Alligator mississippiensis: one gene and its partner. The protein of the gene in region 2 interacts with the protein of the main gene of each other region in a pairwise test. Links are inferred from orthologs where the notes say so. Each region holds a gene or a part of one and is shown on either strand. Other genes may lie near its edges.

Evidence for each region.
Region 1: the proteins of CTBP2 (region 2) and DMRTB1 interact in a two-hybrid assay, tested with the Homo sapiens proteins (2 studies listed by BioGRID). The two-hybrid records come from large-scale screens. The link is inferred for Alligator mississippiensis from reciprocal best matches to the Homo sapiens genes CTBP2 and DMRTB1.

The regions. Positions count from the first base shown.
Region 1 is NC_081828.1:10,117,489-10,124,902, forward strand, and holds the start of DMRTB1 (doublesex- and mab-3-related transcription factor B1), read left to right. Parts: upstream 1-4,409; 5' UTR 4,410-4,494; coding exon 4,495-4,921; intron 4,922-6,803; coding exon 6,804-7,036; intron 7,037-7,414.
Region 2 is NC_081829.1:82,166,175-82,173,074, forward strand, and holds the start of CTBP2 (C-terminal-binding protein 2), read left to right. Parts: upstream 1-3,879; 5' UTR 3,880-4,160; intron 4,161-6,900. UniProt on the Homo sapiens protein: Corepressor targeting diverse transcription regulators. Functions in brown adipose tissue (BAT) differentiation. Isoform 2 probably acts as a scaffold for specialized synapses.

The sequences.
Region 1 (7,414 bases), on a different chromosome or scaffold from region 2:
ATTTGGGGTGCTAGCCATGGTTCCCGCACTATGGGAATGGACCTTGTAGGCTCAGGTAGGCCATGGCTGCGTCTACACGAGACACTGACTGTGCAGTAGCTCATCACTACTGTGCAGTACAGCAGCTCGTTACTACTGTGAAGTAATGCTGTGTGGCATGAAGCGTGATGTGATGCTACTGCGCAGTAGTAATGAGATACTGTGCAGTCAGCATCACCAAAAAGCTGTTTGGGGACCAGGGCCAGATTAACCCTTTAGTGGCCCCTAGGCAAACAAAATCCTGGGTCTCGGGCCAGCCAAGACCCCTGTCTCCACCCCAGCACTGCCACCTGCGGGGAGTAACAACCACGCAGTCAGCATCTCATGTAGACACGGCCCAAGCAGCAACAGATGAACACAGATGAGCAGGAGTATAAGGAAGCAATGAGACAGGGATGAGTTGGGGTTAGAAAGGCCTTTTGAACAATTTTTGAATTTTGGTTGATATTATGAAATTGTCACAATAAAAGTCAGTGTTTCACTGAATGCAGCTGTGTAAAAATACCCACCAAGGCCTGGGAGGGTAAAGTCACCTCCCTGCCAGACTAGGGAAAAGGGCTGGTTGTTCAGTCTGAATGGGTGGCTCTGTGACAGGTCTCTGGTGGGTGTCCACCTCAACTGCATGGCTAAATGGAGCACTTGGAAGCTGGGACTTTGCTGGTGATCTCTTTCTATCCCAAACACGCTAATAAATGACATACAGTAAAGACCGACAGCCTAATTAGAACAGCTAGTTCGACGTGCAGATGCCAAGACCTGATGTTCAAAATAAACTGACCAGACAGAATAGAGTGTGTTGAAGTCTCGGAGAGAGCAAAATGACCATTAGTTGTACAGACCGTACATTTGGTGACCGTATTATTTTTAAGGAAACCCAGGACGCTGAGTTTCAAATGAAGGAAGAACACCCCCTCTCCCCCTCCAAGTCAGTGGCACTGCTGCAGGCAGAGACAGAGGCAGGCGGGCAGGAGCGTGGGGTGCGGTCTGGCAGGGAGGTGGAACAGCATGGTGCTTCTGGCAAGTGGGCGAGCGGGCACCGCTGCTGCTATGCAGGAGCAAGGCATGTTGACCGGAGCAGGTGCTGCCCTGCCCACATATACCTGGCCTGGCTCCACTTGAGCAGTGGCTGGAGGCAGGGGCTGGGCTGGGCATCACTGCAGTCTGCCTGCCTTGCTCCCGGTGCCTGCCTGCCCACCTGGCACACCATGCCGCTCCACTGCCCTGCACCCTGTGCCACCTGCCTCTGCCTAGGTGGCCGATTCCAGGACTTTTGTTTGAATTTTCACCAACTGGCTTGGACTGGCCTATGAAATCTGGGACTGTCCCGGCCAAACTGGGACGTATGGTCACCCGTACAGGGAGAAGCTGGACTTCCCTTGGCTACGTTCTAGAGCCGAAGTTAGCAGGCTACTGTAAATTACAGAGATGGGTGAACCTGACCTGACAAACTATTTTGCAAACTATTTTATTACAAAATGCTACCTGCATGTAGATAATGCGATACTTCTTCTATATTTCATCCAAGATATTTTAAAAACCAATTCTGGAGAAAATAGATTCCTTATTGCATTTAATTGTTCTTTAAAAGTGGACAAAGGAATGGTGTCATAGACTTTAAGCCAGAACAACTTTCTTTATTCACAGGGAATCAAGATTTCTTTTGATAAATTGTGCACATCTGCTCTGCTGAGCAATCTTAATGCTGTGCGATAGGGCAGCTAACTAAAATTTATATATAAAAGAACAGCAGACTGGGAATAGCAGCACTTCTCAAACTGCCTGCAAAAGTATTCATCTTACTAGTGAAATAAAAACTCATGTCTTTAAAGAAAGCCAGTCTAGACAAGTTAGAGACAAATGATATGGAAGGTATAATAATTCCTGCATGCTACGATGACAAATGTTCACAACCAAATGCAGGTACCTTTCAAAAGTAGGGATCATTTATGCAGAAACTATCAGTGTCCACAGTTGCTGTTTTGGTCCTGAGAGACAAGAATAAAAAACAATATATGCTTGCTTAAAGGTCCTCAATATTAATATGATGTGGCTCTGGGACAAAATTTACTATAACAAATGCATATAACTCACCTACCCTGTGTCTGATGGAATATGAATGGATTAGGCATCTCAGGGAAGATATAACAACCTTTACCTAGAAGGATGTTGTTTATCTGATTTAATTTTACAGATAAATGTGCAAGTGCATGCTACATCTAGCAATGACATTGGGAGATGTCATTTGGAATCTGCCAACAACTTACATTTAATAGAGAGTATAGTTAGTTTTTAGAGTGGCTGAAGAAGTATTCTCCATCTCTCTAAGGCCCTGAGTCAAAATAGCAGCAATTCAGGACATTGTGAGCTTTAAGTCTAACTGAACTCAAGTCAACCACTTGTGTCAGGTACTTTCCTGCCTTGAGGCCTACGGATAATAACTTTCAAAAGTGACTAAGTGACTTTGGTGAGGTGAGATTTTCAAAGGCTTTTGGGCACCTAAAATAAAAATTGAATAGGGCTGGAATCAATGAGAGTTAGGATACTTTGAGGATTTGAACATGGGACTTGGGTCGAAGCGATTACCTTTGGAAGTCGAGCGCCCCCGAAAGCCAATGGTACTCACACTCCAAAGTTACACGGGAATTTTCCAAAATCTTGTCCTAAGTAGCTGAGTTTCAAGTCAACAGTTTTGATTAAGATCTGACCCCTTATGACCTACACTATGCAGAGGGCCTCCTCCACTGGAGGGGATTTTTCAACATGACTTTAAAGCAAGGCCAGTTCATCATTAATGTACTCTTGAAACAGCTGAGATAAGTACTTCAGCTTGTCCCTTGTTTCCCTGGAAATGGATGAAAAATTAGCCAACTGTTTTGCAGTTAAAGATTGTTTCATTCTGAACAGGTTTCTTTTCACAGGGCGAAATTACAGGCTTCAGGTCAGTCCGAAGGCCAAAATCATGGGACCTGTCTCTAGAGCAGGGGTGGGCAAAATGCGGCCCAGGAGCTGGATGCGGCCTGCTGGGTCATTCTATCCGGCCTGCGAGGCCCCTAAAAAATTTAGAAAATTAATATTTATCTGCCCTGGGCTGCCTGTCATGTGGCCCTCGATGGCTTGCCAAAACTCAATAAGCAGCCCTCTGCCCAAAATAATTGCCTGACCCTGATCTAGAGCCTCCCTAGGGCTCTTGAGAGCACTCCTTCAGCAGCAAACCCAGAAATCAGGTAGTAAAGTCATGCCAAGGGTTTTGTTTCCCAGATTTTGAAGCTCCACCACCTTGTTTTTGAGTTGAATGCATCCAGAGCAGGGTTGAGTGGATGGAAGGAGCTTCTTATCAGCTTTCTCAAGAGCCCTGGGGAGGTGGTACCGACAAACCCAAATTACCCCTTATCTTTGGGAGGGGAAGAAAATCTGCAGTATCATTCCTTACACTGCTTGGTGCTCAGATGTGCCTGTTGATGAGCTACTGTATAAGATGTGGGTTTGTAACTGCTAACAGTAACAAATGACACAGGGCATTTTATAAGAAATATGGAAACAGGTGCATTGGCACCTTTTCCATTTTAAACCTACGCTTGCTTCCAGTGTATAAAGGATTTGGGGAAAGAGAGCTACTTAGAGGAATGAGGTGTGCCTTCTGGCCTGACTGTAAACGTGGGGTTTGGTTGAACATTTGGAAGAACTGAATAAAGAAGCTGACACGGTGACAATCCCCTTACCCAATAAAAGTTGAAATTTGAAACAAAGTGGAACTGAAATCATTCAAGGTAGTGCAATTTCTTACAAAGGATGATAGAAGCCATGGGCAGTAGATGACCAAAGCAGGAGAGTGCAGCTTAGATGCAGCATAAAAAGGCTCTGCTTGCATGAAGAAAAAGGTGTAAATCAGGTGCGCTTCTACTCGATCTACGCATGCAAACGCAGGGCACGGGCACAGAAAGGGTTAGAGGCCATGTTTTTGCAGACTTGGCTGTGTCTACTTTCTGGTCAAAGCCATGCAGCCTTTTCTTTTATGATCATGCAACTGCATGGGAAAGGGACAATATTTGACAAGTGCCTTGTGCAGCCCCCAGCAAGAGCATTGCCCACCACTCCCCACCCAGCTCTTGGAAAGTGGAGGGCTCTGTCTGAGAGTAGATCAGGGCCTTTGGAGTAGCGCTGGCCCAGCCACCATACAAATGTGCAGGATTTCCTTGCTCCAGAGCAAGGCTGTCTCTTGCAAGCCCTTGCAGCATTGCTCCTCCTGCTCCTGCTGACAATCCTCCCTAGCCCCCCAAGCACAGAGTTGCTGGACTCAAATGAGCTCCTCCTTTCCCCATGCACAAGGCCTAGCAGCCTCACTTGCTACATTGTATAGCTGTGGGTACAAGAGAGAGCTGTCCCAACCTGCCTTGTACATCAGCTCCCAGCTCTGGCTGCGCCTGGCTGTCAGGTGCCTGCCTGGCTGGAAGTGCCATGGAGGCCGAGGATGCGCTGGCAGCTGAGAAGGCAGCTCTGCGAACCCCAAAGTGCTCCCGCTGCCGAAACCACGGCTTCGTGGTGCCGGTGAAAGGCCACGCGGGCCACTGCCGCTGGAAGCTGTGCCCTTGCGAGAAATGCGCGCTCATCACGGAGCGTCAGAAGATCATGGCAGCCCAGAAGGCGTTGCGGAGGCAGGGCCCAGATCCCCTGCCCGGGGTGGTGTCGCTACCTGCACCCTGCACCCCAGGCCACGGCGAAGGACGGGGGACGCCTGCTGTCAGCTCCAGCGCCTCTGATCGGAGCAGCCACGCGGTCGGGCACGAGGGAGCCAAGGCTGTCCCAGGACCAGGCAGCAGCAGCAGCAGAATGGTGACCCGCAGGGCCCTAGACGCTCCTGGCTCCCAGCCCTTTGGGGACTTCGGTAGGGACCAGCACAGCACTGGGGTATCTGTCCTGTTAGCCTCTACTGTAGATGGCTCGCTTCTGCCTGTCCATCTCCATTTCCTTTTGTCTGTCTGTGCGTCACTCAGCATCTGTCTGTACATCTCTCCGTGGTGGCTGTCTGATCAGCATCTGTCCAGCTACCTTTTCCACCTGTCTAGGGAAACAGAAGTCAACCTGGCCTCCCATGGCCCAGTGCGCCCTGAGCTGTTCCCCACTTGGGATGTGCTTGGTGCAAAACCTTGGTTTTGCAGTTTCTGAGCTGCATCCCTGAACTTTGTAGCTGCAGGAACAATCCCAGGCAGCTCCTGTGGTCGTTTCATTGTTTCAAAGCTGAATTCAGGCCTGTGTTCCCTGTTTAGGAGGGAAAGGAGGCAGTGGGGTGGGGGGAGCACAGCCCTCAGTATCCAGGACAGCACCTTTTGATTGCTCTTCTGAGCTGTTACTGACTTTAAATATGCACGCATCCTGTCCAGCACAAAGCCATATGCCCCCCAGCCCAGCACTTGCAAATGAATTGGGAAGCTCAGTGGGAGGCATCTGGGCTTGGTTGCTGCAATAAGGGCTAGGCTCAGCTGGAATAATTTGGTGTAAAGTTTATTTCATATTTATGTGCAGAAGGGGGTCAGACTCGATGATCTATTGAGGTCCCTTCTGACCCTAACATCTATGAATCTGTGAATCTATGAAATGTCGTGGTGGTTTCATCTGTCGCCTCTCAGATTGTTTCTGGCGATCTGGTCTTGGGCATGTGATTCCTAAGCAGGGTGTCACAGCACGCTGGGGTGCCTTGGGAGCCTTTCAAGGGTGCCACGGGATGCCACACAAGGGTAGCGCTATTAGGTGCACGCACACGATTCATCAACTAGACCCAGAGCTTGCAAATAAAAATCAGTAGTGTTAAAACCTTTCTGACTTGCTGTGGTCTTTCTGAGTTGGTTGCAATGGAAGAAATGCTCTGCTGTTTTTCTGTAGGCGAGAAAGCATTAAAAGCTAAGAGCGGGCTTTTTCTGAGGGGTGCCTTGAGTCGACGAAGGTTGAGAACTGCTGGGTTAGTCTCATTCCTTATTGAAACCCCAGACTAGGAGTTGGCTGGGCCCTCAGACAAAAGCAATCAAGAAGACAGACAAAGATAGACCATATGCTTTGGCAGATCCAGAGGAAAGGGAGGTTAACAGTATCAGCTGATCTGCCAGTGAATGTTTCTTTCTTCTTTTATTTTAATTTGCATGAGCCTCACCAGACTAGTGAATCTCTAGGAGCAATTTGTACGGATGGGGCTAAGCTGCAGGCAGCCTCGCTGTAAATGAGTCTCCACCTGTCTCAGAAAGATCACTTGTGAGGGGTCTGTTTTAAATGATAATAAAAGGGAACTGACTCTCTAAAAATTAACCCTATAACAATGACAGATAGCATCAGGCGCTTCGTTCCCCTGCATTGGCTTAAGTAATTAGTGTTGTTGGTGTGCAAGTCTTCAAGGGGATGATATTTCAGCTGCTGCCACTGGAAATCGAGCTGTCTTCATGCTTGTTACAGCAGCACTTCCAGGTGGAGGTGCTGCAGGCAGGAGTTTGCTGGCAGTTTGCTTCCAGATGCGCGTGGCAGAAGAGAATCCATTTACTCTTTCTTTGTTACCTGCTTCACCTCCTTATTTTCAGCCTTTCTAATTTCCCAGTAGTAAGTGTCTAAAAAAACATCCAAAATGATTAGCAGCTGCATGTAAAACCAACGGGCCAGGCTCGGTGCACCGTTACACTGGCTAAGAATAGAATCGGGCACCGTCAGTCTTTATTTAGTATTTGGATTTATTGTGATGTTTTTGGTGTGTTTATTTTGACTTTTCCTTCCTGGTTGTTTCACAGCCTACCCTGCTCTGCCTCCAGAGTGCCTGGTTAGCCCAGAATTCCTCGAGCGAGAGCCTCCGAAAGTGTACCCGGGGTATTCGGGTATGTACCCGTACCACCCATTCCCCATGGGCTTTGCCATCAATCAGCCCAGCTGCAGGGGCGTACCGGCATCTGCAGGGATCCCCCTCCACCGAGGTTACAGACATGCTCCCAGCAGCCACATACCAGCAAGTGCAGCTTCTCTGTCGGTAAGGAGTGATTTTTTTTTTTTTAAACTGCTGCTGAATATATTGCTCCTTTGCTGTTGGATGCAATCTTGCTGTTAAAGTAACCATGAAACGTTACCCTGGCTACGAGTTTCTTCAAACAGCAGCTTGATATATTAAGTGGAAGGAAGCACGACACATAATAGTGCTAAAGGTCTCGCTCCAACCCAGAAAAATCAGAAGTATTGTGACCGGAGGGTCCAGATCTTGCGTGTGCTCTGAGCACCCGGCTCCTATTGTCTGAAAAGACATTTCTGGATGGAAGGGCATTGTAGGAAAAGGTTTCTTAGGGAAAATTGCCACTAAAGTGTGGCTTTCTGTCAGTGTAGCTGGCAACCAAAATGCCTGTAGGGACGCCTC
Region 2 (6,900 bases):
GACTCAATTAATCGAGCATGTGTATAGGTGCCTTCAGGTATGTTTTGAAGCCTTTAAAGGGTGCCACAGTGTGCCAGGTAGTGTTAGTACTGTTAGGTGTGTGAACCTACATGATACCCAAGATAAACCCAGAGATTTCAAATAGGAATCCATTGTGTCAAAAGCATTTCTTAGCTGCTATGGTCTGAGTTCTTTGCAACAGAAGAATTGCTCTATTATTTTTCCATAGGCTCCAAACAATGAGCTAAAAACTGATATTTTCCAAAGGCTGCCGTGTGTTTGATGAGGGGTGCCATGAGTCTAAAAAGGCTGAGAACCACTGGGCTAGGGCACTTTTCCAGTTTCAATTATTTTACATCAAATGGGTTTTTAGATAAAATATCAGAACAGCCAGCTACTGTTTTTTGAGAAGCCTGATCCTGTTGCCATGTGCTAGGTTTAATCTAGGAATGCCTACTGGGTTGAGCCTCTCGGGAATTTTAGACGGTGGCCTGCTCAGGTTCAGGGTTTCTGTTCAGGTTGAGGCATGAGCTAAGTGCTGACCAGTAAAGTCATGTCAAGATGGGGAAATTCTGGGCATGCACAAATGCAAAACTCTTGGGAGCTGGGAAACTTTACTGTAAAAATATAAGAAACCTCAAGTATCTAGGCTCATCCAGAATAGGGGCCTTCAATACTGCAGCTTGAACTTAGGCATTTGAATTCTGCATAAATCCCACTTCAGGAACATAAAGCTCTTCTTGGATCTGGACAGATATCTTTTTCCCCAAAATTCTTTCATATTTGGAAAATCTGAAAAATGTGTACTAGTAACAAGAAGTAATTTGTGGAAAAAATAATTGACTTCACCTGATGTTTCCCATATTTCCCTTCTTAATTTTGAAGATACGTGTTTTCATAAGAGCTTTCTTTCTTACAACCTGGCATCTAATTGCTCTTCCAGTGAAATAACTATTTTGTGTTTATGACCTCAGCATATGTTACCAACCACATTTATTTCATAAACTCAACATTATTTATTCTGAATTATATTATTGTTGATTCCTGCAGCACCATAGATTGCATGGATGGTTTTGTGCAAACGAATACAAACACACATGAATTAGCAGTGAGAGAAAGCAAAACAAGATGGTGAGTATGGTTGAAAAAAAATTGTTAAAATACAGCAGGCAGATGCTCAGCTGGTGTAAGCTGTCATAGCACCATTGTGGGACAGTTTACGCTAGCTGATGATCTACCCTTAATATTTTTGATTGCCAGCAGAATTATTAACAGTGAAAAGACCTGAGATGTATTTGATGGTCACTATAAAATACTGTTCTAGAGTGCTAGAGCTTTCTCTTCATGGAACTTTCCCAGAGCAAAACGTCTAAGGCAGGGAACTGGGTCAGAAGTTGTATTTTGCTAAAATCTGTCCTGAGGCATGTAGTTGGAGCCAGTGTAATTTTGAATCTTTGGCTCATGGCATGATTTCCCAATTCTTTTCATAACTGCCAACAGCAGTAGTTTATTTCCAGCTTTCACTAAAATAACAATAGAATTAACAACAAAATGATATAATAATAAAATTACACGATTTGTTGCAATTGGTAAAAGCATGCAATAAAATCATACTTCCTACTAATTTAAACACAAGTAAAACTGAACATGATATATGATGATACATAAAAGAAATAAAATTATGCAATATAAAATAGTGGAATAAAAAATTAGAAACAGGGAATTGTATTTGATTTTAGTTATTATTCTTTGTAAAAATAGTGCAAATATACCTATGAGATTCCTTGTAGCATTTTTGTGAAAGCTGTAAATAAACTACTACTCCCAAGTGAGTAAACTGTCATTTGCATACAAACATGGACCTTGACCCTCCAAATGCTTAACACCATGGGTAATTCTGCTGAACTAGGGTTAGTAACACATTCAAGTGGTCGCAGGAATGAGGTCTTGGTTCTCAGCATCAGGTGGTTTGAATCCTGGTAATGGGTACGATGTTGAAACCTAAAAAGAACCTACAGTTTACTGATGAGAAGCATTTTATACGTTTACCTTGTAATTCCTGAGATGAAAATCAAAGTATCCTTATGAATTTCGATGGATAAATGGTCTGGTTCAAGGTTTTTATTTGACTAGAAAAGGAATCTGTTTTTTCCACTAGGATTGAAATTCTATATGATTGGATTACATATGATATGGAAAGCCCAGCAGTTATATAACAAAAAGATAAGATCACCACCTGCCCACATCCTTGTGATAAGCAAATGATGAATGTCTGTCAAAACCTTAATTCCCCAAAATATAAGGTGTAACGCAGAATACAACTAAATGCCTGTTTGAGTGTTTTTGTTATCTCCCATTCAGCCAAAAACCACAACGTGATTATATGATATTCATATCAAATTTGGTGCTCAGTGGGCGTGCATGCGCCAACCCCTTTCTATTTAAGATGTCAACAGAAGGGGCTCAGCATGTCTGGTGGCCTTTATCCTAAGTGCCCCCCCATCAATTTCAAATTACATCTGCTCTGTATGGAGCAACAAATGTGTGACACACTCAAATGATCTTAGGTGGAAAGAAACATTGATGACTCTGAGGGGTTTCCAGGGGTAACATGGACTTCACGCGCATGGCCTAGACCTGAGCAGTGCTGGCTGCAGTGCTCATTACGGAAAACCTTACGTGTATTTTGCAGACTAATATCTTAAAACAAGCATGAGAAGCCCGTTACAGCTTCATGTACCGTCAGGCACATATTTCACTGCGATGCTGACAAAACCAGTGGTGAGTCCTGCACGGCTGTTGTGACAATGCACACCTGGTTGTGGTGCTCCTGCTGTGTCTTAGGCCTTGCACCCTTCACCAGCTTCCCTGGGGTCACTGCTGAGGTGCATGCAACCAACACACATGGGCTGCCTCAGCACCCCAGTATCCCACCACAGTGGCCCAGTGCCAGGCCACACTTATGCCTCAGTGGAGTGGCTACAATTGGTCAAAGTCAATTTTTTTTAATATAATTTGCATCTGAGGCCAAATTAGCCAAAACTAATTCCAAATCCAAAACCATAAGTGGCACTGCTACCTGCAAACATCCTCCACCCGCACCTGGGGTTTTAGATGTTTCCGAAACCTTTGGCAGGCATCCTACTTGCAGGCTTGGGGTTCGGATGCCCCTGACTTTTGCTTGCCCTAGGAACAAGTAAGGGAGGAGACTCCCATCTCCATAAACTGGTACCGAACCATGCCAGGAGAGCAGCTCTGCTGCCAGGGGGTTCAGGAAAACTGCCTTCTTGGACACACACACACACACAGAGTATTATTTCCCCTGCCAGGTTAAGCAACTGCTATGCTTGATCTGAGCCTTCAAGAGGCCAAGAAGCAATAACCGAATGCAGCTGAACGTGCCCCCGAATCCCCCTTTGCAGGGAGCGCAGAGGCTTCTGCTCCAGGGGGCTGCCTGCCAGGCCCTCGGTCTCCCAGGGATGAAGAGCCTGGCCATGTCCGCTGCAGGCCGCAAAGGGCCAGGGCAGGGGAGCGGGCACACCAGGGGCGTGGGGAGGGCGGCATCGCCCACTCCCTTGCAGTTTCCAACTTGATGTGCCAGTGGCGGAGGTGGGAGGGCAGGGGAGCCCCCTTCCTCTCCCTTCCTCCTTCCTCCCCTCCTCTTTCTTCCTTGCTGCGTCTGTTTGTACTTTAGCTGATCCACTAATCCCCGGAGAGAGCCTATTTGTAGTGAGGAGTATCTGTAGGGGGCGAGGCCGGTGCATGTGGGTTTGTGTCATTGGTTTGCAAGGAGGAGACCCCGCCTCTTGCCAAAAAAAAAAAAAAAAAAAAGGAGAAGAAGAAGAAGAAGAAGAAGGGAGCGAGCGGGGAGGAGAGGAGAGGAGAGGCGAGGCGAGGCGAGCGCTGCCCCCCGCTCGTTTTCTCCCCCACCCTGCAGCTCCAAGTTGCAATTGGCAGCGGCAGCATCCTCCTCCTGCCGCCCGCCCAGCGCCTTCCCCGGGGCGGGAGGAGGCGGAGGCGGAGGAGGAGGCAAAGGGGGGGATTAAGTTTTTGTGCGGTGCGTGTGTGTCATTTTAAGGTGGATCTCCGGCAGCCGGAGCCCCGCGGGGCGATGCAGCGCTGAGCGCGGGGCCGGCGCTGCCCGCGGATCCGAGCACGAGGTAGGGCTGCGGCTGCGGCGCTGCGGCTGCGGGGCTTGGGGGGCCGGGGTTGCGGGGGGGGCCACAAATAATCCGAGGACATCTTTGGCCGCCTCCCCCTTGGCTTTTTGTTCGGCGGGAGGCGGGAGAAGTTTGCAGCTGCCCCCGGGCCGAGGGGAGCGGGAGCCTTTTGTTGTGCCGGGCGCGCATTGTTGGCTGGGCGAGGGGCAGCATCTGCCGGAGGATTAGCGCGGGCTGCCAAAGTCTCGGCCGGGAGGAGGCAGGGGGAAGGCGAAGGGGAAGGGGCGGCTTCTCTCCTTCCCATCCCATCCCATCTTCCCTCCCTCGCCCCGGGGTTTGCTCCCGTCCGCGGCACTTCCCGCCGCACTTGCAGCAACAATGGGAAAGTTGGGAGCCGTCCTGGCGCGAACAATGGGCAGAGTTGTTGTGCTCGCATTATTCCTCAGCGCTGGGCGCGGAGGGGCCGGCGGCGCTGGCCGAGCGGCCAGGGGGAGGCTCCCTCCCAGGGCAGGCGTGTCCGGGAAGGCAGGCGCTGGCAGCTCCGCGGTGCAGGCCGTGCCGGCCGCCCTCCCCCTTCGCAGTGCTGAGGGAGGGGGGCTGGAAATGCAGCCCAGGGCCACGAGTCGCCCCTCATGGATACACAGGCCCTGCAAAAAAAAAAAAAAAAAAAAATGAAGATGCAGCCAGTCACTTAGCAACTCCTCTGGCTACAGTAGAGATTTGTGTGTGACAGCACCCCGCACCCTCCCCAGGCATCTCCTCCAGGCTGTGTTGGAAGAGAAATCTAGTGCTTTTTCACTAAGCCCGTGTTTAGCAAAGTTGAGCGGCTGTTTTCCACTGCTGATTTCCAAGAGAGCAATCCCCCTTGTCCCGCTGCACAGGAAGATTTACCTGCTGGTGGAATCACCTTAACTCCTGGTTTGGGGGGGTATTTTTCTTCCCCCCCCTCGTGTGTGGTGGCTGCAACTAAATCTCTCCCTTCATTGATTCGCATCTCTGTGCTGTAAAATACTCTTCCAGCTATTATTGTTTTGCCCACCCCCTTGCAGGATGCAGAATTGTTACTTGCATGCTCTGGACTTTCGTATTTGTTCCCATCACACCAACAAAAGCAAAATTACGTTTCTCTGAGCATTTTCAGAGTGGCAGCGCTAAAGCGTGTTGGTTTAAAGCTCGTTACGCGGTATAATTTGGTCTGAAAGAGCTTATTCTTTTAACAAGAACTAACTGCGTGTGGAGTAGTCTTTTGTCTTTCAATCAAGATTGCACTCCTAAGGTAAACCCTGGCTGTGGCTTAATGTTTGATACCCTGCCTGATGCTGAGGTGTTCTCTTTATTATGTAAAGGAGGAAAGTGTAAGGAGATGAAGATTTCAAAGTAATACAGGAAAAGTCACTTCTTTCAAATGTGCTTATAATTGCCATTGAAGGTGCATGCCACCAATGAATGCATGTAGCCCCAATTAAACCACTTTAATCATTCACACTTGATCAAGTATAACGTGACCAAACAAAAGAAATAAGCATTTACAGTTCTGTAATGCATTGATTGATATTGTATACCTGCTAATCATATATTTTTGGTAATGGTTAATTACCTTTCAGTAGAATAAAGGATGTCTACTGCCGATTAGTTTTAGTGACCACTTATTTCTCGAAAAGGGGCAGTTTACCAGTAGGTATAAAAGTGTGGTTATTGCAGATATTTAGAGCTTAGTTTATTTAAGGACAGTGAATAAAATACATGACAGACAGTATATCCAGCGACAGAATATTTTTGTTACTGTTTTCTTCACATAAAGGTGATGACCTGCTTTAGCATTCTTTAAAGGTCCTTTTAACAAGCAAAATTGAAGACAGTCTCATTATAGCAGTGTGTGTTCAGAATACTATGAGGCGTTTATGAATGCAGAGGTGATTGTTGTATCAGAGACATTTCAATTACGCATACGCCAGTAAAAATTTTATTTGTAATAATGTCATGAGTGTGTGTGTTGTAATCTTTTAGTATCATAAAGCTGATTTGTCTTTAGTCTTCACTGGGTTGGCCAAATAATGGGTGGTCATACACAGTATTCTGGTTTTAAAAGCTGGATTTTTATTTGGTATTACCAAACTTACCAGAAGAACAGTTTTGAAGTGAATATAAATGCTAATATAGAACAGCCTATTAATATTTGAAATTTTCAGTGAAGACCTGGTATTGTTAGTGCCGGACAGTATTTTTTAGAAAGGAGGTTTTTATTTTTGAAAGCTTTTGCAAAAACACACCTGTTAGTCATTAGTGAGGTGGGGGCTTAGCCAACACAGATGTATGTATAAGGCAGTAAAAAAAAAAAACAAAAAAAAAGTGCACTCAGTTACTTGGTTGATTTTACTTCCTTTTATCATCACTGAGTATACAATCTTACTTTTAAAATTTAGGATCCAAATCATTCCTAAAACTGAATAAGTATAGTTCATCTAGTGAGAAGGGAAAATATGTACATGGTTTGAAATAAGAGCACAATACTTTTTTTTTTTTTTTTGGACAAAGAATTTAGGAATTACGTAGTTTGTTAGTACAGAGAGCAGGGTTATTGCAAAGCTCTATAGAGTAAAAAATCCCATTTTTCCCTTTTACAATCAAACCTCAAAGCTTTTAAAGCCAGTTTTCTTTATGGCATATGCTATTTAGAATCCATGAGGTTCAGCTGAATAGGATACCTCACATAGAATGACATCCCACAGAGTTCTAGTAC